Arabidopsis thaliana: one gene and its partners. The protein of the gene in region 3 interacts with the protein of the main gene of each other region in a pairwise test. Each region holds a gene or a part of one and is shown on either strand. Other genes may lie near its edges.

Region 1 (7,713 bases), on a different chromosome or scaffold from region 3:
AAACGAAATTCGAAGACGAGGTTCGGTTTTTTTCTGCAAGCAAAAATATCTTGCGTTTGAAGGTTGAAGAAAACGAAAACAGAGACTTAAACTGGTGATTTGTTTTTGAAAAATAAAAAAAAAGAATAAAGAAGAGGCAGAGGAATAAAGGTTAGTCTTGTCGGAATATACAGAACCAGGATCACTCGATTCTCTGAAGTCTTAACCTCGTATTTTGGTTACGCTCTCAGAATCACATTCTTTTTATATAACTATTTCTTTTAAATACGCATTTGACGTGTTCCGTTGTGTGCCATAGTTGCTTCCTTTCGCGCTGTGTCTATTTGCTACCTTAAGTAAAATATCGGAAATATCTTTCATCTACTTTTGTTCTTCTGTTGTTCAAGTAAATGATTAAGCTTGCTTCTAATTAAGTTCCAACTAGTTGGATTTGACTCCAACTCTATTGGAAGTTTATTCTCAATAACCTCTCGTAAATCAAATTCTTAAATCCTTAAAAACAATTTTATTCTTGTTGTGATCTTTAGTGTGTGATTTTCTTGTGGTGAATTACTATATTTCAAGACATCAAGGCATGAACCTAATACCTATGATCTTGTTACCATGTAAACAGTTGAGGTTTACCATCATCAGAACTGCAGAAGTAATGTGTTACACGATTAAGGTCGAAACTCAGATCAATAGGGTAAAGATAGTGCTACATGAGATAGATTGATTCAGCCCTCAAAAACAGAGAAATTTTGGAAGTGTAAAAGGTAAACTCTGAAAAATGAGAGTGATCCCTTTGCTGTTTGGTTTATAATTCTAGAGAAGAGTATCAAGAAACTCGCTCACGGTCATGTATTTGACATCAGGGTAAAGCTCAGTACCATTCACTCCACCACAAGACTCGATGTCGAAGTATGTGTGATCTCCTTTGATAAAGACAGAGTATATGAATACCATCTCCATGTTATCCGGATATGGAGTTTCTGCATCATAGAAACACAAAGCTCAAGTTTAAAAAAACAGTTTTGCAAATATGTTAGTAGATGTGCTGATGATGTTATGATGATGAACCTTTGATCTTCTTGAGAAGTTGATTCTCTGTAGCAAACGTTTTCTCAAGCTTCTTCTCAATCTTGCCCTCCCAGAGCTCGACAAGATCATTCATGGAACATATGTTTCCGGGCGGGCTAAGGTACAAGGTCTTATTCAGTGTTCGAGGATCATCTATCGTCTTGATAGTAAATGCTGCAACATCGACATCATTCACGAAAACAGCTATACACAAAACAACACAGAAAAAAGAAACACTCAAATTTCAGACCACAAGATTGTATATTTGCAAAAACTTGTAGCTATAGAATTGAGCAATAAGGACAAACCTTTAACGTTTCCATCTCCAAAAACTGTGACTTTATCTGTTGGAGGAGATTGAAGCCCCGGTTGCACAAGCGATGGAAGTAGAACTCTCATGAACAGTCCGCAGCAAATGTATGTATATGGAATCCCCTCTGATTCTATCATATGCCTAATCTCTGATTTCTTCGAATAGAAGTCATGATCAAGATCCGAGACTTGAGTTTTATCAGGATTTGCTCCATATTCAGCAGGAATAAACCTCTGCAACAGTAATTAATCCATGTTCTGCTCTAGTTAGATATCTATCCTCTCAATCTCATCATCAGCCAAAAGTAAATTCAAGAACAATATTAAACAATACTACAATGTGATCTATACTTAAGACATGATCGAATTGGTGTAACAAAAAAAAATCCATGATTAAGATATAAGAAGAGACCTTGATGGAACCAGCTTGTTTGATAACTCTGACGAGGAGTTTCTGATCAAGAACATGTTTTGATGGAATTGCAGAGATCACCACATCTACTTTACTCACTGCTTCTGCTAAGCTTCCTTCATCCTCCAATGAACCCTAGAACCCATCAAAAACCAAATCCAAATGAAAACAAGCAAAAAAAGCCAAGACTTTTTCAAAGAGAAGTCCCCCAATAAGAATCTACAGAAGAACCCTAATGAGGAAATTACAGAGATATTGCAAAGAGAGAGACTTTGAGGAGGGTAACGCCGGCGTCGGAGAGAGATTTCAGCTTATCGGAGAGAGTGGTGTTTCTGATGAGAGCGAAAGTCGGGTGACCCGATTCGATGCTGAAACGGGTCAAATAGTTCCCTAATCTTCCTGTTGCTCCGATGATCAAAACTCTGCTCTTCTTCTTCTCCTCCTCCATTTATATATACTCTCCGTATAGAGAATTAGGATAGTTTAGTTCCAATGGGTTGGTCATAGGTTTTAATCTCTGACTCAGTTCTCTTACATTGTCGTCGTTTTGTCCGCCACGCTTAACAGGTGTTGTTTATTCAATTGCTTTAAATTTGGGATTAGTCCCGCTTTTTCAAAGTAACCAAAACATAGATTAGAAGATTGTTAGTGATAAGATGTAAAACATAACGTTAAACGACTGGTGTCTTGTTTCTTGATTTCATGGTCGCATGACTTGTGGCATTGTATACTAAAAAAAAAAATACTAATGGATGATCATTCACCACAAGAAGATGAGAACACACCTTGAATTAAAGACACAAGTCCACCGATAAGAAATATATTACTGGACTGGTTTGCAAATTATACACAATAATGTCTACACTCTTTGATACATCAACTAATGGGCGGGGGATCTCAAGTCAATAATCTAGTGGAATTAGTAAATAACAGCTACTGGTTTGCTCTCTCTTCCGATGAATAATTTGAATTAGGGAACATTGTTATGTTGTGGATTGGTTTCTTAATCAAACTCCTAAATTGCCATAGAGATTCTGCACATGAGAGTCCCACATCGAAGGAGCTTCGCCATTCTGTAACAATCAAAACATATTTAGTAAAAAATTATCATATCCAAAGTTAAACTAAAGGATAGATCATAATGAAAGAGTATTAAAAATATGACTTACGTTGAAGCATGACAATGGATCAGAACTGGTATTCACTTGCTGCATTGGATTGACATGAAGGTAACCGGAGTTAACCATCTCACTAGAATAACCAGAGTGAACCATCTCATGAGAATAACCGGAAAGAACCATTTCAGGAGATGGCACCACAGTCATTGGAGTTGAGGCAACCTGGTTTTGAATCCACATGGCGTATTTTAGCTCATCTATAAATAGCCTTTAAAGTTTTGTTTTTCATATAAGCATAAACAAATCAATGACTAACCTCTTTGGCAAAAATGTCATCCATATCAAAATCCGGCCTTGGATTCACAATTGCTAGTTTCATCGATAAGAACTGTTTTAAACAATATTTTGATAACAAATTAGGAAGGTAATGCAAAATTAGTCTTTAAAACATATTTTCTATAAATGGAAATAATTTTCAGACCTCGATTTGTCTCTGAAGAGACTGAACATAGTTAATGATTTCATCAAGCATCCCTGCTTTGCCTGTGATCTTGTCGCATCCAGGAACCAAATCTTGTAGAAACTTCATTCTCTCACTGATCTTTTCTCTTCTAACCTTCACAAATTTAATACTTTAATAATTAGTCTCAATGATTACACAAAAAACAAAGTTAATGAATTTTAGTTAATGAGGCTCTCTTACTCGTTCTGCTATGCTGTGACTATCAGTGGCTTGGCCTCGTCGTGCACGAACATGAATATAATCCGTTTTCTCCAATTCCTTCGTCACTTTAGATGAATCATTAGAGAAATTGTTCTCTTCTTTCTTGGCTTTGTGTTTCATCTTCTTGATGCTTTTTGTGCTCCCATTGTTTTGCTCTGTTATTTTCGACTTCTCTTCTTCTCCTTCTTCTACTAGGTCATCTCTGTTCATCGTCATCTTCTTCTTCTTCTCATTACAATCCTAAAAGCACACACAGAAGAAACAGATAAGCCAAATCTCAAAGTAAGATCTGTTTTCTTTTTCATTTATAGAACTTAAACTTAAGTTTTCTTTACACACGAACCTTAGTCTCTGTATCAAACTTCCGTTTCTTGAAATTTCCAGTCCCAAGCGTCGTTTCCGGCGAAATTGAGAGTCTTGAATCACCTTCCACCGTCGTCTCACCGTACATCATCGGAAGATTCAAACCGGCAGTCGAAAGATAGCTGTCCATCTCGCCGCCGGTAATCATTGAAGAATCGGCAAAGAAGCCGGCGAGAGGAGAATCAAAGGTGGGATTGAGGTACTTGAGGTGAGCCCTTTGGCGCTCTAGGACCGACATGTCAGGAAAATTGAGCAAAAGGTCACCTCCTATAGCTCCATTCATCGTTATCGTCTTCTTTGGATTCAGAAAACAAGTTGCTTGCAACGAGAGAGAGAGAGAGTGGAGAAAGAAACAGAGTAAAGGTGAGGGTAGAAGAGGAAACGATATTTATAACAAAAACCATCAGCTCTGTACTTAGTCCATATTCATCGCATCTAATAAGGTAGGCCCATATACAAATCTGGAAACTTTATATGTTTTGTGATAATTGATATTTGCGATGATTGAAAATTGAGAAAATAACTAAAAATAGTGAGTGACACAGAAAACTTATAAAACATTTATTACGTAATATATGCATGTATTATAGTGTAAATTGGATCTTGATTCACTAAGAAAGGATAAGCTTGGGATGTCTATGCGAATTGGAGCGTCTCTTCTTTAGGTTTCTTTCATTATAGGAGCACGTGAATGGTCACGTGGGAATGGTCTAGTTGTAACACAATGAAAAATAATTTTGTAGTTTACAAGCTAGTTATGATTATATGAATCAGATTGGTGTGTGCGCTAGATATTTCACCTAATTAAAATGGGGTTACAAAGAAAACACTTTACCTCATTTCAATAGCTCTGGTCTTAGTTTAGCTACGAAGCACTGTTCACATGAATTTATTACATCCTTCGGAATCTTGTTATTCAGATCGATCATCATCATGTGTCTGATCGCCATGCTGTATACATTGGCTTACTCTATCGTGATAGGCTAATACTGAGACGGCGCAAGAGAGGCTGCCACGTGATCGCCATGCTCTTTTTCGATGCAGAAGGCCCATCACATGAATTACTCACAAGTTAGTTTTAGTCTTAGATCACTTTCACCGATTTCGGTGAGCAAATATTTCGAAGAAAAGGACCTTCCATTAAAGTATATATGACATTGTTTTAGATTCTCAAATATTTTCATTTATCCGACTTTTTATGTTATTGGAAAACGCTTTATGTGATTGATATAGGGACATGAAATCTTCTCGATTCTATAATGAAAACCCAACTCTCTTTTATTTTGCTTAGTCCAGTTATATATTAACCTTTAAAGCAGATACATGGAGTTAGTAGATAAGGAAAGGGGAGGGTGTAAAGTTGTTAGAAACAAAGACATGGTCGTTGCCTTTTGATGTGATGAATTTGGACTAAGTCCATAGAAGATGATGATCAGCTATTTCCCTCCCTATCATACTATACATGCATACACTAAAAAAAGTAAAGCCACACACCTAATTTGTGGGTTCCCCATCACCTTGTACATATATGTTCATAAATTCATGTCGACATGTATGTAGATGTTGACATTTGATTCGGTGTGTTGTATTGGAGATAGTTATATTATTTATACAAAAGTATTTAAATACATCTATCCAATTTCTTTCCTTAAACTGGAGAATTGATCTGTGCACGTATATTTATCTATGTTTAATTAAGTGTTGTTACTAACTTACTAAAAGATATCTATATCAATTTGTATATGGGAGAGTTCTTAATTAGAATTAGAAATTGCTGTAAAAAAAATTAGAATTAGAAACATATCATCGACGTAGAAATTTCTGATGGAACAATAATGAGGGGAGATCCAATGGTCATGACTCATGAATCATGATCACATGATGGGAGCCTAATTCCTATATGATGGGTTATTCTCGATATATGCATGGGAATTAGACGTATAAATAAGAGGACTTTTTTTTTTTTTTTTTTTTTGGGTTTTAAAATAAAGAAGAGTTGTGAATTTTATAAACTTTCATATAACTTGCATGTATTTTAAAGGTATACAACTTTCCTAAGAAGTCTTTTTCGTCAAAAGAAGAATTGTTTTTTTTTCTTAACATCCAAGAAGTATTTATATTTTTTATGGTTACTAGTTATTGTTATAAAAATGATTTAATGATAAATGAGTTATTGTTATATAAATGAAAAATGTATAAAAATTGTCTCTGACCCGTTGCTCCATAGTTAGTTTTTTCATTCTTTTGTATTCTACGGTTAGTTACTATAATTTCCTTAAAATAAAAGATTTCATGTTGTAAAAAGTAAGAAAAACGCATCTTTTGAAATAAACAGATATATAAGGTGAGTTTTAGCCAAAAAAAAGAATGAAAATATGAGTGTCTTTTTTTGGCTGATGTAGGCTCATCGGGGACTGCTCCAACTCTCTGACACTTATCATTTTTAATTATTCAACTATCAATTGAATTTTATGGGCTTCCCTACTTTCAAATCTAAACAATTCAAAATCATACATAAACTAAAGTATCCATTTTTATATTTAAATCTAAACAACCAGGAATATAACTTTCTTCACATAACCTAGACGGCAGACAGAGCTGGTCAGCTGGATGAACAAACAATCACAAAGAGTTGATTTTAGTTCTAAGTTAGGTAATTAAACAGTCCCACAACATAAGCTATTATTTATTATTTAGTGAGCTAATTAAGACAAAACGCATAAATCGATATGCTTACAAAATTTTTGTTTTACAAATCCTTAATTAGAGAATAGGAGTGAATGTTTATAAACTTTCATTTCTTTAAATATTTTATGAAAACTAAAAATATACTGTATTTTAAAGATGATTTTGTAAAAGAAATCATGTAAACCTAAATAGAAACGCTTAAAATCGCGTTTGAAACTATAGAAGAATTGAACTTCTTTATTTATAACGAAAAAGAGAGAACATAGTAAACATCTAATCATAACCAATAAAAGAAAGGAAAGACAAAGTAAACGTTGGCACTCAGATACATCAAATTAGGACCGACCGTTTTGGACATGAGTCTTTGACTTTGACAAATCAGAATCAATTTTAACCGGATATCTATCGATGCAATGTTGCCAAGGACTATTTGCCGATGCCTTGACATTGCGTAGAGCCACCCAAACCGCACTATTACACTTAAACCCTGATCCTAAAGCAATCTGCCAAGCTTTATTCCCTTTCTTCATTCTTCCCTTTGCCTCTATGTATGCTAATTCATACCAAATTGAGCTAGATGAAGTATTCCCAAATCTATGTAACGTTGATCTAGATGCCTCCACATCGATCGGCGATAGTCCTAAGTTCTTCTCTAGCTCATCGATCACGGCTCTGCCTCCGGCATGAATACAGAAATGGTCAACAGCAAGCTTGAAATCCGGAACATAGTAATGCTTGATTTTATCCTTTAGAAGTTTCTTGGCGACGAAGGTAGCGAAAAAAAGAAACTTTTCGCTTAAAGGAAGAATCAACGGACCCAATGTTGCTATATTTTTCGTAAGTGTTGTCCCCGCAACATTGGTTATGTCCTTTGACAGACAAACTCCGATTTTGCCGCTCTCATCGTCTTCTTGTTGCACACATCGAAAAGACTTGTCATCAGCTCCAGTATGCGTTCGGACCGTGTGAACTAGCTTGTACTTGGACCGTCTCCGGTCTCCCGACTTGTTAGAGAGCAAAATCGCGGCCCCACCAAC
Region 2 (7,508 bases), on a different chromosome or scaffold from region 3:
GCCTCAAGAGGACCAGAAAATTTATGCCGGGCCACAAAATCCTTCGGGATTATCGGAGGATTAAATCTGATATAATATACAAAACACACAATGATATGAATTAGACTATCTGAATGTAAGTAGCCATAATCAGAAAATTCTGAGAGTAAGAGCTCTATTAGACATGCAATTGTGTGATGACATTGATTTAACAATGTCCTCATGTTTGTGAATCATTGAAACATTACCTCTCCATACTGTAGTCAGAATTCTTAGCAGCTCCAAAACCTGGCAGAACGTCATGCTCTTTTGAGGTTAACCTCAGTCTATTGTCATTGCTCTGTCTTGCTGGCTGTTCGTCTTCTATGACATAAGTCTGATCAAAATCGTAACCTGAAAGAAAAGAAAAACACTTTGGTATTGCAGCATATTCTGAGAAACAGGAGGTTGATAAATCCAAAACTAGCACTTCAAATTGTCAAGAAAGTATTTACACCTATAACCAATATTATTCTTTTACAAAAGCAAATTACTTTTACAACATACAGGAGCTTTAAATTAACGACTGTGGGACAATGGTTTGTAATCTTTAGAATAAATAATAGTTCAACCTGAACAGACACTTATGCATATATGAACAAAGAAACCATGATTAGTGAAATTGCACTTCTGTCCTTACCAGCATAGACATCTTCATCCTCAACATCAAGTTCCTCAAGTGCTCCAATGCCAAAACCCGGAGCAATCTTTCCTGCTGATTGTTCAACTCATGTTAGTAACTAACAAAACCCATAAGTAGTTTTCACGCAACAAGAATGCCAAGTAAAAGCTGGCATAGAGATACGCTATAGATGCATGTAAGTATCTTTAAGCAAAGAAGAGAAAATTAACAAGAAAGAAAAGAAAAAATGGTGAGTCAAAATCTTACATTTGGGTCCAAAAAGACTTTCCTTCATTGATAAAGGTTTTCTGAAACCAACCTCCTTATTGGCAGACATGCGAGATCTTTTCTTTTCTACAGATCAGAATAATGTGAAGCAAGTCAATGACCAAGAATGCCCTGTCAGCAGAAACATCATAAAAAGTCCAAACTAGGTACCTCTAAATTCAGGAGCATGCTTAAAAGGATCATATCCTAATCCATGCAGATCTTGCTTTGGATTCAGAACATATACCTGCAATCGATAAAGGGGGAACAAAGGATATCATCAAAATCAATGTAACTAAGGGTAATATCTGAAGAAGCTCAGCAGCAGATTAGAAGCAGTATTCACAGTCCGACGTTAATAAAAAGTAGAAGAGAAGTTCAAGAAAAGTATGACTAATAGAAGTATCACACCAGTAGCGATTACAATCAACAACATATAGCTCGTTTGAAAAGAGAAACAGGAAAATTGACTCACAGGAGTGCTTTCAGAAATTTTAATATCTTCACCCAGAGAAGTTTCCACTTCAGTCTCAGAAACAAGCGAGTCGGGCGTTTCCTTTGTATTCTCATCAGTATAGAAGGCTAAGAATGCTTTTCTAGCTTCTCTACGAGCATCTGCACCAACAAGGTATAAAAGAGAGAGAGAGAGAGACGAAATAAAGAGCTTGCTGTGAATTTCCAAAATAGAAAAAGTATTGACGGCTTTTCTTGGTGCACAAAAGAAGATTATGGATTAGTGCATGTTAAACAAGTTCAAACCTGAACTGGCACGCACTTCCTTTATTGAATGACCACGCCGCCATCCCATCTTTAGCAAAAGTTTGACCCCTGAAAAATATAAAGAAGCATAAATGTGAGATCAGGATTTCTCCACTTGATGCATTCGAAAATAAAGAAAACGAAAGAAAAGGAACTTTTGCAAAATATTAAAGAGGCTTATTGAAACTAACCAATTGACTCTGAAACTGGAGCAACAAGTTCGTCAGGAACAGGGCCAGGAATGGCTGATGGCCTGTGATACAGAAACAATATGTTACAAATATATAGATAGCAACTTCTTATAAAAAACAGACTACAGATAAGTACACAGACCTCTCATGCTGTTCTTTCTCAGCATGCTTGCGGGAATGTTCGGCTGCCGTAAACCCAAATGTGTCAAATTGTGAGCTCGCAGACAGTGATTTGCCCTCCATATCCTAAAATGGAAAAGGATTTAGAATGGTGTAACATCGTTAAATATGGTGCACATCTTCCACAGAGCAAAATATAATTCCCAAATCCACACTCCATTTTACCATTGATAAAAGTAACAGAAGAATCATGCAATATGCGGTAATCAAACTTTGACAAGCTTAAAATAACTCGAAATAAAGCTTTAACAGATCTAACAAGGAGAAAAAGATGAAACATACCGCCTTTTCATCTTCATCTAGAAAGTCTGAAATACTTTGCTTTCTCGCTCCAGCTCTGTTCTGCCTTGATGATGTAAATGACTGTGGAGCCCAGCCTGAAGTACGATTTAGATTGTAAACAGCATAGCACAGATAAAAAAGCCTTTGAAAATCAGGTAATGTAAACTTTACCCTCTTTTGATCCAACTGTATTGTAATACCCAGCAGAATATCCACCAGTAAATGCTCCATGGAACCTTCTACGGCCTTCTTCATCAGTCACCTGAGTATGGTAAAACTCGAGATGTTAGCAACTTTCCACATAATAGTACAACTATATACAGATAGACTTTATTTCCAGTAAAAACTCATAGTGGAAAGCTGGACAACGAATTCTTGCAATATCATGCATCCATTAGTAAGGACACAAATTTTCATCACAGATTGCTTCAATTAGTTTGCAATTAGAGACCAAGGAAGATGCCACATACATAAATACATATTTCAAAATGCCTACAAGGCAAACACCTAAATGCAGATAATCAATCTAATAACTATCCATAGATACATTAATAAGCAAAAACAAACACAGCAAATAACAAAAACTCAGAATCTAACTGTCTAGCATGATTTTGAGTATTAAATCAGCTCCAGTAGAGACATTCACTTCGATTTTCTTGCTTAAGGTTAATTTCATTCCGGGATACTCACAAATTTTCAAGCTGATTAAGCTGAAACGGGAATGCCTCAAAGTTATCCCTTACCTTACTCGACATAAAACCTATTAAGCTCTCTACAATACGTTAGAATCACGAAAACAAGCACAACGAAAAAACTCCCATGTTCATGGCCAAAGCGAGTCTCTCGAAGCTCAAATTATCTAATCATCTGCAACTAAATAGACGAACTAGAAGATCAAAGAAAAACTCACCTCTTGCTTCCAAGCAGGGAGAGTTCTAAGATTGCCAGAAGCCCCAGCGACTGCTTTCTTCTTCCGGCTTGCGATTTCTTCTTCGCGCTCTATTGGCGTTCCATGAAACACGAAATCTTCCTCGTCTGACCCCATTGTCTTCACCACCGAGACCGAGAGGAGCAGCAGCAATTCGAGATTCTGAACGAGTCCCAGAGAGAAGAAGAAGAAGCAGAATCAGAGAATTATGGAGGAGATATCTGGGCCTGGTTCGGGTCTCTTTTCGGCCCATTAGTTTTGTTTTAAAATCCAATTGCTATAAGGAAGTTAAAGTTATCTTCACGCGCCGTCTCTAAGCGTTGTAAAAGAAAGTGTGATTCACGCGCTTTGCTTCTTCCGTTTGCCCTAAACGACTCTGCTAGAGAAGACGAAGGAGAGAGAAAATCCCTCCGATTATATTCCGTACAATCCGATCGATTTCCCGGCGCCAGATCTCACCGCGACTCGTCTACTTTCCGATTTGGTTCGTGTTGACTCAGTTACGGTGAGTCGATTATCTCTATCTTCTCGTTTTTTTCCGATCTCCCCTTGATTTGCTCTTTATGCAGATCTTCGTGTACAAGCACCTTTAACCTGATGAATTCTGTAGATTAAACTATGGATCCAATGGATATAGTCGGCAAATCCAAGGAAGACGCTTCTCTTCCAAAAGGTTAGTGTTATTGCTCATTGATCATTAAATAGGAGGATTTGTAAACCTAGCTATATATAACTCTGCTTGAAGGTTATAGGATTCATGAGCATCATAAACTTCATTTTTTTATTATCTTGCTAAGAATATGTTTTGTTGTTCTCTATTGTTTTAGCTACGATGACTAAAATTATAAAGGAGATGTTACCACCAGATGTTCGTGTTGCAAGAGATGCTCAAGATCTTCTCATTGAATGTTGTGTAGGTAAGATCATATAGTTTCTCTCTGAGTTCATCTATATATGTGAGAGTTCTTGGTTTTCTTACTGTGGTTTAAAACATTTTTTGCAGAGTTTATAAATCTTGTATCTTCAGAATCTAATGATGTTTGTAACAAAGAGGATAAACGGACGATTGCTCCTGAGCATGTTCTCAAGGCATTACAGGTTCTTGGTTTTGGAGAATACATTGAAGAAGTCTATGCTGCGTATGAGCAACATAAGTATGAAACAATGGTAATGATTCTCTACTTTCTTCTCCTACTCTTGATAACGAGGAGACGAAAAAACGATTAATGTTAACCGTTTCCTACATTTGTGACTCTATAGCAGGACACACAGAGGAGCGTGAAATGGAACCCTGGAGCTCAAATGACTGAGGAGGAAGCAGCAGCTGAGCAACAACGTATGTTTGCAGAAGCACGTGCAAGAATGAATGGAGGTGTTTCGGTTCCTCAACCTGAACATCCAGAAACTGACCAGAGAAGTCCGCAAAGCTAACTGAAACCGTAAGGGTAAGTGTTAGGCAAGAAAAAACAACATCCTTTTAACATTCCCTTGTAAGTTGCAAATGCGTATGTTCTCTGTTTATATGCTCTTAGTATGATATATGTTAGTTAGTGTTTCACGATCTAAAAACACTTGTGATTCAGATGTAATTAGTAAGCATTCCTTGTTTTGTGTTTACTTGTGTCTTGACTAAGCATGGTGGGTCAGGTCTACACAAAGCATCTGATTCGATGACTTACAGGAATCTTAATGTTTGTAGATTGGATAAATTTGGTGATTGGTGTAATTGTTTTTCCATAAACACAATGCAATCATTGTTTAGTGTTGTTAACATTTGCCCTGTGATTCTGACGCGAACCGAGAATACTGTACTGAGCCAAACATAGATTTTTGGTTTTCGGCTAGGTTTTGGTTCTCTAGGCTGAACCGATTGGCGTACTTTCAATTTGCCTTCAGTAACCTGCGAATTTCGGTTCGGTTCGACATTGGTTTCTCAGATAGTTATTTGTTTCTTAAAGAACGGATTATACCATTATTAGACCGTTTTTTACCAAAATTTGATCGGGTTTCGCAAATGATTACGAACCGATTTTAGAAAATAAAGAAGGAACCAAAACCAAACCAAATTGAATTTCTTTTCGGTAACCAGTTAGAAGAAATACTTCGGTTAATTGATAACCGGAAAACTGACTTGGTTTGTATGTTTTGTCTTTGTCATTAGTAGAAAAAACATAAACTGATGAAATTATTTAATAGACTCTAGTTTTCCCAGTCTCAAATTTTAATCTGTTCGTACTAAATAACTGATTTGTTCATTAAATATATAGTTCCTTACAAAGCAAAAGACAAATGGTTCATTAATATTTTAGTTTCTTACTAAAAATGTACATAAACTGATGAATTATGACATCATTAATTAAAGTATATACTGTAAAAGGTAGGATGACTTTTGACCCCAAAAAAAAAGGTAAGAGGAGTGAGGGAGAGTCGAAGAAGGGGAAGGTACTAGCAGGACCATCACCGGAGTGACGTGTCAGTTCGCAGGTTTCTGTTTACTCTGCACCCGACAACTAATAAGAGAATCAGAACAGACCTATTTCATATCTTACTATTTATGACGTCAATTGATCCTAACTATATAACTTACGTATTTATTTGTAACATTATTATACATTCCTTTGTATTATTATAACAGTATGATTTTATTCTTTGATATACAAAGACAAAGCCTGTCGAATGTTGTATTCCTCTTAATGGCCCGTCACACCAATCTTTATTTGAGAATATTTCGTACTGAATCGAGACTATTAATGAATAGTTGTATAATTGAATACATTCATCTTTCCATGATAAACCATACTATAAGTGTTAGACAATTACTTGAACCTATCTATAAAGCATAAACTTAAGTATCCATGTACCAATTGATATCGAGTCTTGTTGTATGTTTAACTTTTTTTAATGACGGATTGTTGGAAACCTGTAGTGGTTGTATGGATAATATGTGTACTAATTACTATATTATCTAACATGCACGATTTAAGTTTCGTATTAGTAAGTGTTGTTACAGTAATATAAGGATAGTGACGTCAAGCCGCTTGTGCCAAATTATTGTCTTGCGTTTTTTACCAGGAAAAGTTGGAAAAAAAAATCTTACTTTTACTGCCAACAACTAGAAAAACAGTTCTCAGAACTATTTGCTTTAACATGGTTAAAAAAAACTAATAACCGCATACAATTCAAAAAGTGAGATGGAAAAATAGAGAGTACAAGAGGTTCAACAATTCACTTGCATTTGTTTCAATTTAGAAATGTTTATATTCTATGTTGCTTTTGATACTTAATCTTTACTTTTTTTTTCCCTGTCCATTGATTTGAAAATAAGTTTGAAATCATCTACGAATCTTTAATATGATTAGAGATTGTATAATATGTACAATAAAGATTTGATATAAAGAAGAAAGGATTTGATATAAATGTACTATATTTTGGTAAACACTCCACTCTTTTTTTTTACTGTATAAAAGATTGAAGTCAAAAAAAGGGTTTTTGAGTCAAACAAAATTGAGGGTCTTTGTAGATTACCCCACATAGAAAATGAAACAACACACACACTTTGTCCCCAGATTCCTTTCTTTTGTCTCATTTCTCGTGTTTCTCCCAAAGTATTCAACAAAAACACAATCCTCCTCTCCACTTATTCTCTTAACTTTATATTAATACAACTGAATCAACCATTCATATAACTAAAATAAACAAAAATCAACATTTACAAAATTCAGCACCAAGCTTTTCTTGTATATTTATACTTTTTATATATTTTCTCCTAAATACATATTTTGCCTTGGCTCAGATTTATTAAATTCATATTGGCAAAAGGTTTTATTGGTGGTGTTGAGAGGAATGGAAGAGATAAAGATGTAAATGAAAGAAAAAATATTTCTCTCCTCTTTACTTGATAGAATCAGTTATTTTACATTTTCAAATTGTCTAACAAGAATTGAGCATAATCCGTTTTAAAAAAACCAAAAATATCTCTAGAATAAGCAACTAATTGAGCTAAAAAGTCTAAAACTAATCCCAAGCTGAATCACTTAACACCTAAGAGCATCCCCAATGGTTAAGATGTTAAAACATCTTAATTTTGGATCTTAATCTTTTTTAAAATTAAAATTTTGCTTTTTCAAAGTTAAGATAAGTTAAAAAAATATCTTAACTTATTTATGCTCCAATGGTTAAGAAGCAAAAAATTCTTAAGGGAAAAAATTTAAATTATTTATGTTCTAATGGTTTTTTTTTCTTTCCTTTTGTTTATTTGTGT
Region 3 (8,173 bases):
TTTGATTAATGTATATTTTAAAAACTTGCAACTTGCAAATACTCTTTTCCCCTCTTTTTTATATTAAAACTAAAATATAAACCTTTTCTATGCCATCCTGCAAGGCAGATTTGGGCACTATCACAAATTCCTACGGCCCCAAGGATTTTTCCTTCGAATTCAATTTTTACGAATTTGGATCATTTGTTTTGGAGAATTCCTTCAGGCGTCGATTCGGCTTCTTACCCATGGATAATTTGGTATATATGGAAAGCAAGAAATGAAAAAGTTTTTGAAAATGTGGATAAAGATCCAATGGAAATATTGCTCTTATCGGTAAAAGAGGCTCAATCGTGGCAGGAAGCTCAAGTCGAGCTCCATAGTGAAAAACATGGTTCCTTGTCTATAGATAGTCGAATTCGGGTGAGGGATGTATCACAAGATACAACTTTTTCTGGCTTTCGGTGTTTTATTGATGGATCTTGGAAAGCAAGTGACCAGTTCTCAGGAACAGGATGGTTCTGTCTATCATCTCTTGGAGAGTCGCCAACCATGGGAGCCGCCAACGTTCGTAGAAGTCTATCTCCTCTACATACCGAAATGGAAGCTCTTCTTTGGGCGATGAAGTGCATGATTGGAGCAGATAATCAGAACGTAGCTTTCTTTACAGACTGTTCAGACTTGGTGAAGATGGTGTCTTCTCCAACCGAATGGCCGGCGTTTTCAGTGTATTTGGAGGAGTTGCAAAGTGATAGGGAAGAATTCACAAATTTCTCTTTATCTTTAATTTCTCGTAGTGCAAATGTAAAAGCGGATAAGTTGGCACGAAAGATTCGTACCGTACCGCATCATGTCACGTATGTAAACAATATCCCTCGGGATTGGCTCTTTTGAGGTTTAATTTATATCGGTTGACAAAAAAAAAAAAAAAAAAAAAACTAAAATATAAACCAAAGGGTAAAGATATTTTGTGGGAGAACATTTTTCTTATTCATGAACCAAAGATGACGATAAAGCAATGTATGTATGTTATATGAGTAAATATATATGATTGTGACAAATGATGATAACCAAACTTGCCGCGTGTTTACCATTCCAAAACTGACCTACGCCGTCGCATATAAGATATAACCTTTTGAATTGTCTTCACTCTTCAGCGTCACAAACTCACAATTTACAATCTTTTTTGGCTCACACAATTTACCCAACTTACACTTTCTTTTCTGTGCAACAACTTAACTTACTTTATTAAATACATTAATACACCATTAATTTTTGTGATAACTAGAAACGTTAGGTATAACCGTATAAATAACACAAATTAGTTTTCATAGCAACTAAAGACATTTCCATCCATAGTATTCACACATTTTTTTTAAAAAAAAGGTAAGTTTCTAGAATAGTAGAGTTTTTAGTACAAAAGGTTCATAATTGAGAATCTATATATGAGAACCCTATATATGTAAAACTCTCAAAACAAAAAATAAATAAATATATTAGTAGTATTTTATTTGAGAAACTTTCTATAAGTATTTCATCAATAAAGATGCTCAAATTGCGATAATCGTTTTACAAAAAATTCTCATCAAGTGATCGCTCACTCTGCATATGCGTATATAGCATGCATGTCTATTCTTGTTTTTATTTTCCCCCATTTTTGCAATTTAATATTCACTTTGTATGCTCTCTTTAGATTATTTCTGGACCTGGTAATCTGGTATATAGCATGCATGTCTATAAATATTTAATTTTTTTTCCCCATGTCTAGCCTTATATATAAATATTTATCCCCAAATCTTAAAAGGGCTTTAGATTATTTCGGCTTACGGCTTCTACGAAGCTTCCTATTAGTATAACTGTCAAATGATCCGTCCAGGGACCATTGGGCGTGTCCGTAGGGACAATTCTTTTTATGGGTCAAGTTGGACGGTCCATAATGGACAATGGTCCGAAAAATGTCCATGCCCAATAAAGACCATGTCCATATGGGCAAGCCCATGTATAGCCCATTTTATTATTGATAAATCAAAAATCATGATTTTAAAGAATTATGTTTTTGCATTTTGCATTTTTCCGACAAAACGGTAAAATTGTGTTTTTCTTACCAATACAATAAAATCACGATTTTGGCGGAAAAATTATGAAATTGTTTTTTTTCGCCAAAACGGTAGAATCGTAAAATTGTTTTTTCTCGCCAAAACGTAGAATTGTGTTTTCTCACCAAAACTGTAAAATTGTGTTTTTCGCCAATATAATAAAATCACGATTTTGGTAGAAAAATTGCGTTTTCCCGCCAAAACCGTAAAATCGGAGAATTGCGTTTTCCCGTCGAAACTGTAAAATTGTGTTCTCGCCAAAATAATAAAATCGCGTTTTAGAGGAAATTTGCAGAATTACGTTTTTCCGTCAAAATCGTAAAATCGGAGAAATTGTATTTTTCCCTCAATTCATGCCCATGGGCAGCCCATTGTCCATATGGTCAAACTCATATTATTCGTGGACAAAACTGGTTATATGCCCAATTGGACCATTTGTTTTATGGTCCAGAATATAGTTCGTCCATATGCATTTGGACTGGGCAAGTTCATGAGCCGCCTGTCTAATTGACAGCTCTACCTATTAGCATAATAGCATATAGAGATACTTTTTGTCATCGTATCTATGTTTCTGTTTCTACATAGATAACGGACGATCGACGTTAACGTTAATCATTATATTTATTTTTTTTGTGGGCAACGTTAATCATTATATAATTTCCAAATGGGCCAACAAAATATAATAAAGAGAAACATCAAACAAGTTCAAGAAAGAAATGTAATTTCGTCGTTACGTGTTGGGCGAAACTACCGTCCCATGATGAAAAGATATGTCACTATCTGATTAAATTTATGCAAACTTGCAGCTTGCAAATCCTCTTTTTCCACCCTCCTTTTCTGATTGATATTTTTTTAACAAGTCACACAATGTAAGAGAATTTATGGGGAATATTTTCAATTTCATGGATTGAAGATTGGTATGGTCGTATGGAAAAAATAATTACAAAATTTATAAGACAAGTGATAAACAAACGCACCACGTATTTACCATTCCGAAACTTAACCCTTTGAATGTCCTGTCTTAGCGTAATCGAATTCGACAAGTATACCGTCATGACTATTTAATATTTTTACTCTTTTATTGTTGTATTATTTTTTTTATTTTTTTGAATTTGAGAATTTCCGCATAAATACAAAACCCTATACGTCTTTCTTCTCCATCATTTTAAGTTGCAGAAGAACATCAACCATGGCGAAAGCTCTCCAATGCATATTTTTTTGATCTTTTCCTTTTCCCTTCTTTTTTGATCGCTGCAGAGAAATGGAAACTCCTGTGGGTTTAAGATTCTGTCCGACCGACGAGGAGATCGTCGTCGATTACCTTTGGCCGAAAAATTCCGATAGAGACACGAGCCATGTCGATCGATTCATTAACACAGTCCCTGTCTGTAGACTCGATCCTTGGGAGTTACCTTGTAAGTCATTCATATCACCGAGTGTCGTCCTTCTCACTGTTCAATCGAATCATCCGCTACTTTCTGATTTTAGCGTTTTCTCGTTTTGGTATGGTAGGCCAGTCAAGGATCAAACTGAAAGATGTGGCTTGGTGTTTCTTCAGACCTAAGGAGAACAAATATGGCAGAGGTGATCAGCAGATGAGAAAAACGAAATCTGGGTTTTGGAAGAGTACTGGCAGACCAAAGCCTATCATGCGTAATCGCCAACAGATCGGTGAGAAAAAGATTTTGATGTTTTACACGAGTAAGGAATCCAAATCCGATTGGGTTATACACGAGTACCACGGTTTCTCTCATAACCAGGTACTCTCTGTTTTTTTTTTGTGTTACTTACTATTGCTGCGATTCTGAGTTTTTTTATCGAATTTTTGCAGATGATGATGACATACACACTCTGTAAAGTTATGTTTAATGGTGGCATGAGAGAGAAGTCTTCCTCTTCTCCTTCTTCTTCTGGTGTTAGTGGAATTGAGCAGAGTCGTCGTGACTCTTTAATCCCTCAGCTTGTCAACAATTCTGAGGTGGGTTCATCTCAAAACTTCTTTTCTGTTTTAAATCTGACAACGACTTCTTTTGCGTTCTCCCCCTTTTTCAGGGATCCTCACTTCACAGAGAAGATCCAAGTCAGTTTGGTGATGTGCTGCAAGAAGCTCCAATCGAGGATGCTAAACTGACCGAGGAATTGGTAAAATGGCTGATGAATGATGAGGATGATGCTCAAATCGAGGATGCTATACCGATTGAGGAATGGGAAACATGGTTGAATGATATTGATGATGCTAAGGAGAAGAGTATCATGTTTATGCATGATAATCGAAGTGATTACAGACCTCCAAACTCATTAACTGGTGTCTTCAGTGATGATGTTAGCAGTGATGATAATGATTCTGATTTGCTAACTCCAAAAACAGTAAGCAAATTTCTACTTTTGTACCTTTATAATCCTCTGTTTTCGTATTTCACCTTACAAAGCTCAAGTTTTTGTTTCATTCATTTGACAGAACTCTATTCAAACTTCGAGCACTTGTGATAGTTTTGGTAGCTCAAATCATCGCATAGACCAGATCAAAGACCTGCAAGAATCTCCTACCTCAACAATCAACTTAGTGTCACTAACTCAAGAGGTGAGCTTTCTTATCTCTCTATCTTTCACTGAGGCAAACAATCCTTAATGCTACTTTGTGCCATCACTACTAACAACACAAACAATCAATGATGCTACTTTGTGCCAACACTCATTACAACGACTTTGTTTCTTTGTTATGATTCAAGGTGAGCCAAGCTCTAATAACCAGTATTGATACCGCCGAGAAGAAGAAGAATCCTTATGATGATGCACAAGGGACTGAGATTGGTGAGCATAAATTGGGTCAAGAGACGATCAAGAAGAAAAGAGCTGGTTTCTTTCACAGGATGATACAAAAATTCGTCAAGAAAATTCACCTATGTTCTTCCATCTCAAGAACTTGATAACAATAAAAGTGATCAATAACACCTTTTCTACTTTCCAAATTATTTACAACAGTACAAGTGTATGCTATGATGTCTATCTTGGTTTGTAACTTTACCATACTGTATGTGTGATATGTATAAAACTGGTAAATTTGTGAAGACAAATTTGTATCCATTGACATAATAATGTCTATCTTGTTTTGTTACTTTCTCATCTTGTATGTATGCTCCATTGTGAAGACAAAGTTGTATAATTTCTGCTCATACAGCTAACCAAATGCTCAAATTTTATTTGACGTACCCTATCAAGTATCAATCAACCTCGAAGTACTATTCTAGTCCTACCTAACCCCATAAACAAATTCCATTCAACGAAAGAAAACAAGAATAAATTTCAAATTAAGATGCTTCATTTCAGTAATGTCAAGAGTCTTTTTTTGGACTTTCAAGTCTACATCATATATGTACACGTGCATGTTGTCATGTTGATGGCTAAATCCAAAACCCATTAGACTATTGTTTATTTGTTTACATTATCCTATATCATGTAATTTTAGTAATCTTTCTTTTTCTTCTACATCACTTTCATTCTGTTTCTTGTTAATTCCTCTGTTTCGGCGTTCAAAGACTTTGCTTTCGTTTATTATACATCAAATTACGTACCTTATTCGTTATATCTTCTTCAGAATTAAGGAATTTTTTTATGTTGCCCAAAAAAAAAGAATTTTGTTTTTCTAAATTACCTACATATAAAAATTGTAAACCCTATTTTGCATTTTTCATCGCTCTCTATTGTTTTTAACTTTATGGGTTTATTCGATAAGAATGAAATATCCGGCGGATTTCAGATTCCGGCCGACAGATGACGTTATCATCGAATATTACCTCCTGCTAAAACATCTCGGCATCAAGGAAGGCAATATCATCATTTCATTACCACCGTTAAAATCTCTAGTTACGATCCTTGGCATGTGCCATGAAAGTTTTGGTCAATTAATGCTAGATCATGATTTTCTGATTCAATCATTGATTATAGGCTGATTTCTGATTTAGGTTTTTTTTTTTAATAATTATTATAGCCAAATCAAAGAGCGAGTGGGCTGATACTATGGTATGGTTCTTCTTTAGTTGTGATGAATATAACGAAGAAATATTGAAAACGAATTCGGGTTATTGGAAAGAAACTGTATCCAACACACCAATCATTGGCAAGTGGATAACTAGTAATGGTGTTAAAATTGGTGAGAAACAAGTTTTGGTTTTCCAATCGTATGAAAACATCAATGGATCCAAATCCGATTGGGTAATGCACGTGTATCAACCAACGTTTTTGCCTCCTAATCAGGTAATATTCCGAATTTATGATGTTTAATCACCGTGTCCTTTTTTCTCAACGATGTTATGAGAGAATCTGCCGATTAGCCCTAAAACAATCAAATTTTAGGTTATTTGGTACATATATATATATATATATATATATATATATATATATTATCTTACTTAATTAACACGATCATATATTATATCCTATTTGGTTTAGGTTGTCGAGAAATAGTTAAACAAATCGTACGTGCATGTTATTTGTAAAAATTACCATCCATCTTAGTTAAACTATTGCCTAAAGCTGAGAGTGTTGTGTTTCAAACATCAGGACCACCTCTTCAAATCACAATCTGATATATCTCTACACAATGGTTACTAAGATACATGTCGTATATTTTCTTTATAAATTTGTTAAAAATAAAACTTGAAACAAAGATCAGCCTGAGTAGGTTCAATTTTTGTCTACGTGTGGTATATGATCTTATACGTAGAGTGAGTTTGAACGTTTTAGTGAGATATCTTATGGGCTTTGACGACAGAGAGCATATATTGTCTGCAAAGTAGAGTTCAAAAGTGAAGATAAGGAAGGATATTAGTCGTTGTGGTAAATCTGGTATAATTGAGCTTAATCACTCTTCAACCTCTCGTATTGACCATAACGGAACTTGGCTACTAAGGTCGGTTGAACATTGATTAGTTGTGTCATTGGATATGAATCTTTTGAATATAAAAAGATATGCGCCTACCACTTCTATTTATATTTAAAATATTCATGAAAGGTCGTGAAATATAGTACAACAAAGCAATACTATAATAGAAGAAATTTGTAAAAAGATTTTAAAGATTCCAAATAGCTTTTTTGGTTTTGGATTTTTCTCGAGGTAGTTGAAACTGTGCCATTCGTTGAAAAGTAAATGCGGCGCGTTAAATTTGATGCATCCACGTGACCCAATGAAATCTACATGCCTAGATTTGGTCGTTACTGGCGTTTGGAAACATAACTTGGGCCACCACTACTACTTCACATTCCCTACTCCCAACTCTTGCGAAACAGAGAATCACAACTATAATAATATTTTCTGAAAATAATAAATAATTATTCGTTATATTTGGCAAATAAAATGTTTTCTTTAGAGTTAACTCACGTTGGACTTTTCTGTGGTGTATCGTCCGTCCGCGTGGCCATTTTCTCCGAGAAGGAGACCGCTGGATTCACCTTGTTCCAATGACTGTGAAGCCAAAATTTGTTTTTATTTTTTAGTTTTAGGAAACTTGTACCATAACTATTATGATATGAACTTATATATGTGAATAAATTATATATTTGAAAAAGTCGTTTTGATAACCAGATTATTATTTTCTTTTAAAACATAATATTATTTTATATGCGTACATGCGTTAGATCGGTGAAACAACCCCAATGAAAATAATCGAATTGATGAGAATACTGAGAGTGAACTATTGGGAGAAGCTCGTCTAAGCCATTGCAATAATCTCCACCTTAATCTTCGACCATGTTCTTGTTCTCCTTCAGCATCTAAAAATAGTCAAATATATTTCAAATTTGGTTATAAACTTCTCAACTTAAAATCACATGAAACTTAAAAATAAAGTGATCTTGAAACTCAAACCAAATTGGAAATACAGTAATTCAGTTTTATCTGAACAACTTGTAATAAAGACCAAACAAAATTAACCAAAATTATTGTTTTAAAAATAAATAAATGAATAGATAATTTTTCCAAGAAAATAATTAAGACTGAAAATGTATAAATAAAACATTTTTGGTTTACAAAGTTAAAGTATGAACTTTTTGTAAGTAAATTAAATAACCTGGGGGTGGTGAAGGGTATGGTCTGAAGCGAG

What was found.
Region 1: the proteins of NAC003 (region 3) and CIB1 interact in a two-hybrid assay, tested with the Arabidopsis thaliana proteins (one large-scale study listed by BioGRID).
Region 2: the proteins of NAC003 (region 3) and NF-YB13 interact in a two-hybrid assay, tested with the Arabidopsis thaliana proteins (one large-scale study listed by BioGRID).

The regions. Positions count from the first base shown.
Region 1 is NC_003075.7:16,495,024-16,502,736, reverse strand, and holds CIB1 (cryptochrome-interacting basic-helix-loop-helix 1), read right to left. Parts: upstream 4,347-7,713; 5' UTR 4,272-4,346; coding exon 3,969-4,271; intron 3,866-3,968; coding exon 3,605-3,865; intron 3,518-3,604; coding exon 3,383-3,517; intron 3,290-3,382; coding exon 3,218-3,289; intron 3,124-3,217; coding exon 2,953-3,123; intron 2,857-2,952; coding exon 2,791-2,856; 3' UTR 2,563-2,790; downstream 1-2,562. Other genes in the region: AT4G34540 (NmrA-like negative transcriptional regulator family protein), read right to left, coding at 805-971, 1,060-1,263, 1,368-1,605, 1,784-1,918, 2,055-2,231; KCS18 (3-ketoacyl-CoA synthase 18), read right to left, coding at 7,012-7,713. UniProt on the Arabidopsis thaliana protein: Transcription factor that binds DNA to G box 5'-CACGTG-3' and, to a lower extent, to E-box 5'-CANNTG-3' in vitro. Binds to chromatin DNA of the FT gene and promotes its expression, and thus triggers flowering in response to blue light.
Region 2 is NC_003076.8:7,745,526-7,753,033, forward strand, and holds NF-YB13 (nuclear factor Y, subunit B13), read left to right. Parts: upstream 1-3,504; 5' UTR 3,505-3,752; intron 3,753-3,816; exon of another isoform or gene 3,817-3,857; 5' UTR 3,858-3,865; coding exon 3,866-3,920; intron 3,921-4,074; coding exon 4,075-4,164; intron 4,165-4,250; coding exon 4,251-4,414; intron 4,415-4,507; coding exon 4,508-4,678; 3' UTR 4,679-5,087; downstream 5,088-7,508. Other genes in the region: TGH (SWAP (Suppressor-of-White-APricot)/surp domain-containing protein), read right to left, coding at 1-66, 228-372, 659-733, 908-994, 1,079-1,154, 1,383-1,522, 1,667-1,735, 1,858-1,919 and 4 more.
Region 3 is NC_003070.9:425,731-433,903, reverse strand, and holds NAC003 (NAC domain containing protein 3), read left to right. Parts: upstream 1-3,183; 5' UTR 3,184-3,336; coding exon 3,337-3,490; intron 3,491-3,587; coding exon 3,588-3,835; intron 3,836-3,906; coding exon 3,907-4,053; intron 4,054-4,127; coding exon 4,128-4,442; intron 4,443-4,533; coding exon 4,534-4,656; intron 4,657-4,804; coding exon 4,805-5,002; 3' UTR 5,003-5,254; downstream 5,255-8,173. Other genes in the region: AT1G02210 (NAC (No Apical Meristem) domain transcriptional regulator superfamily protein), read left to right, coding at 6,093-6,356.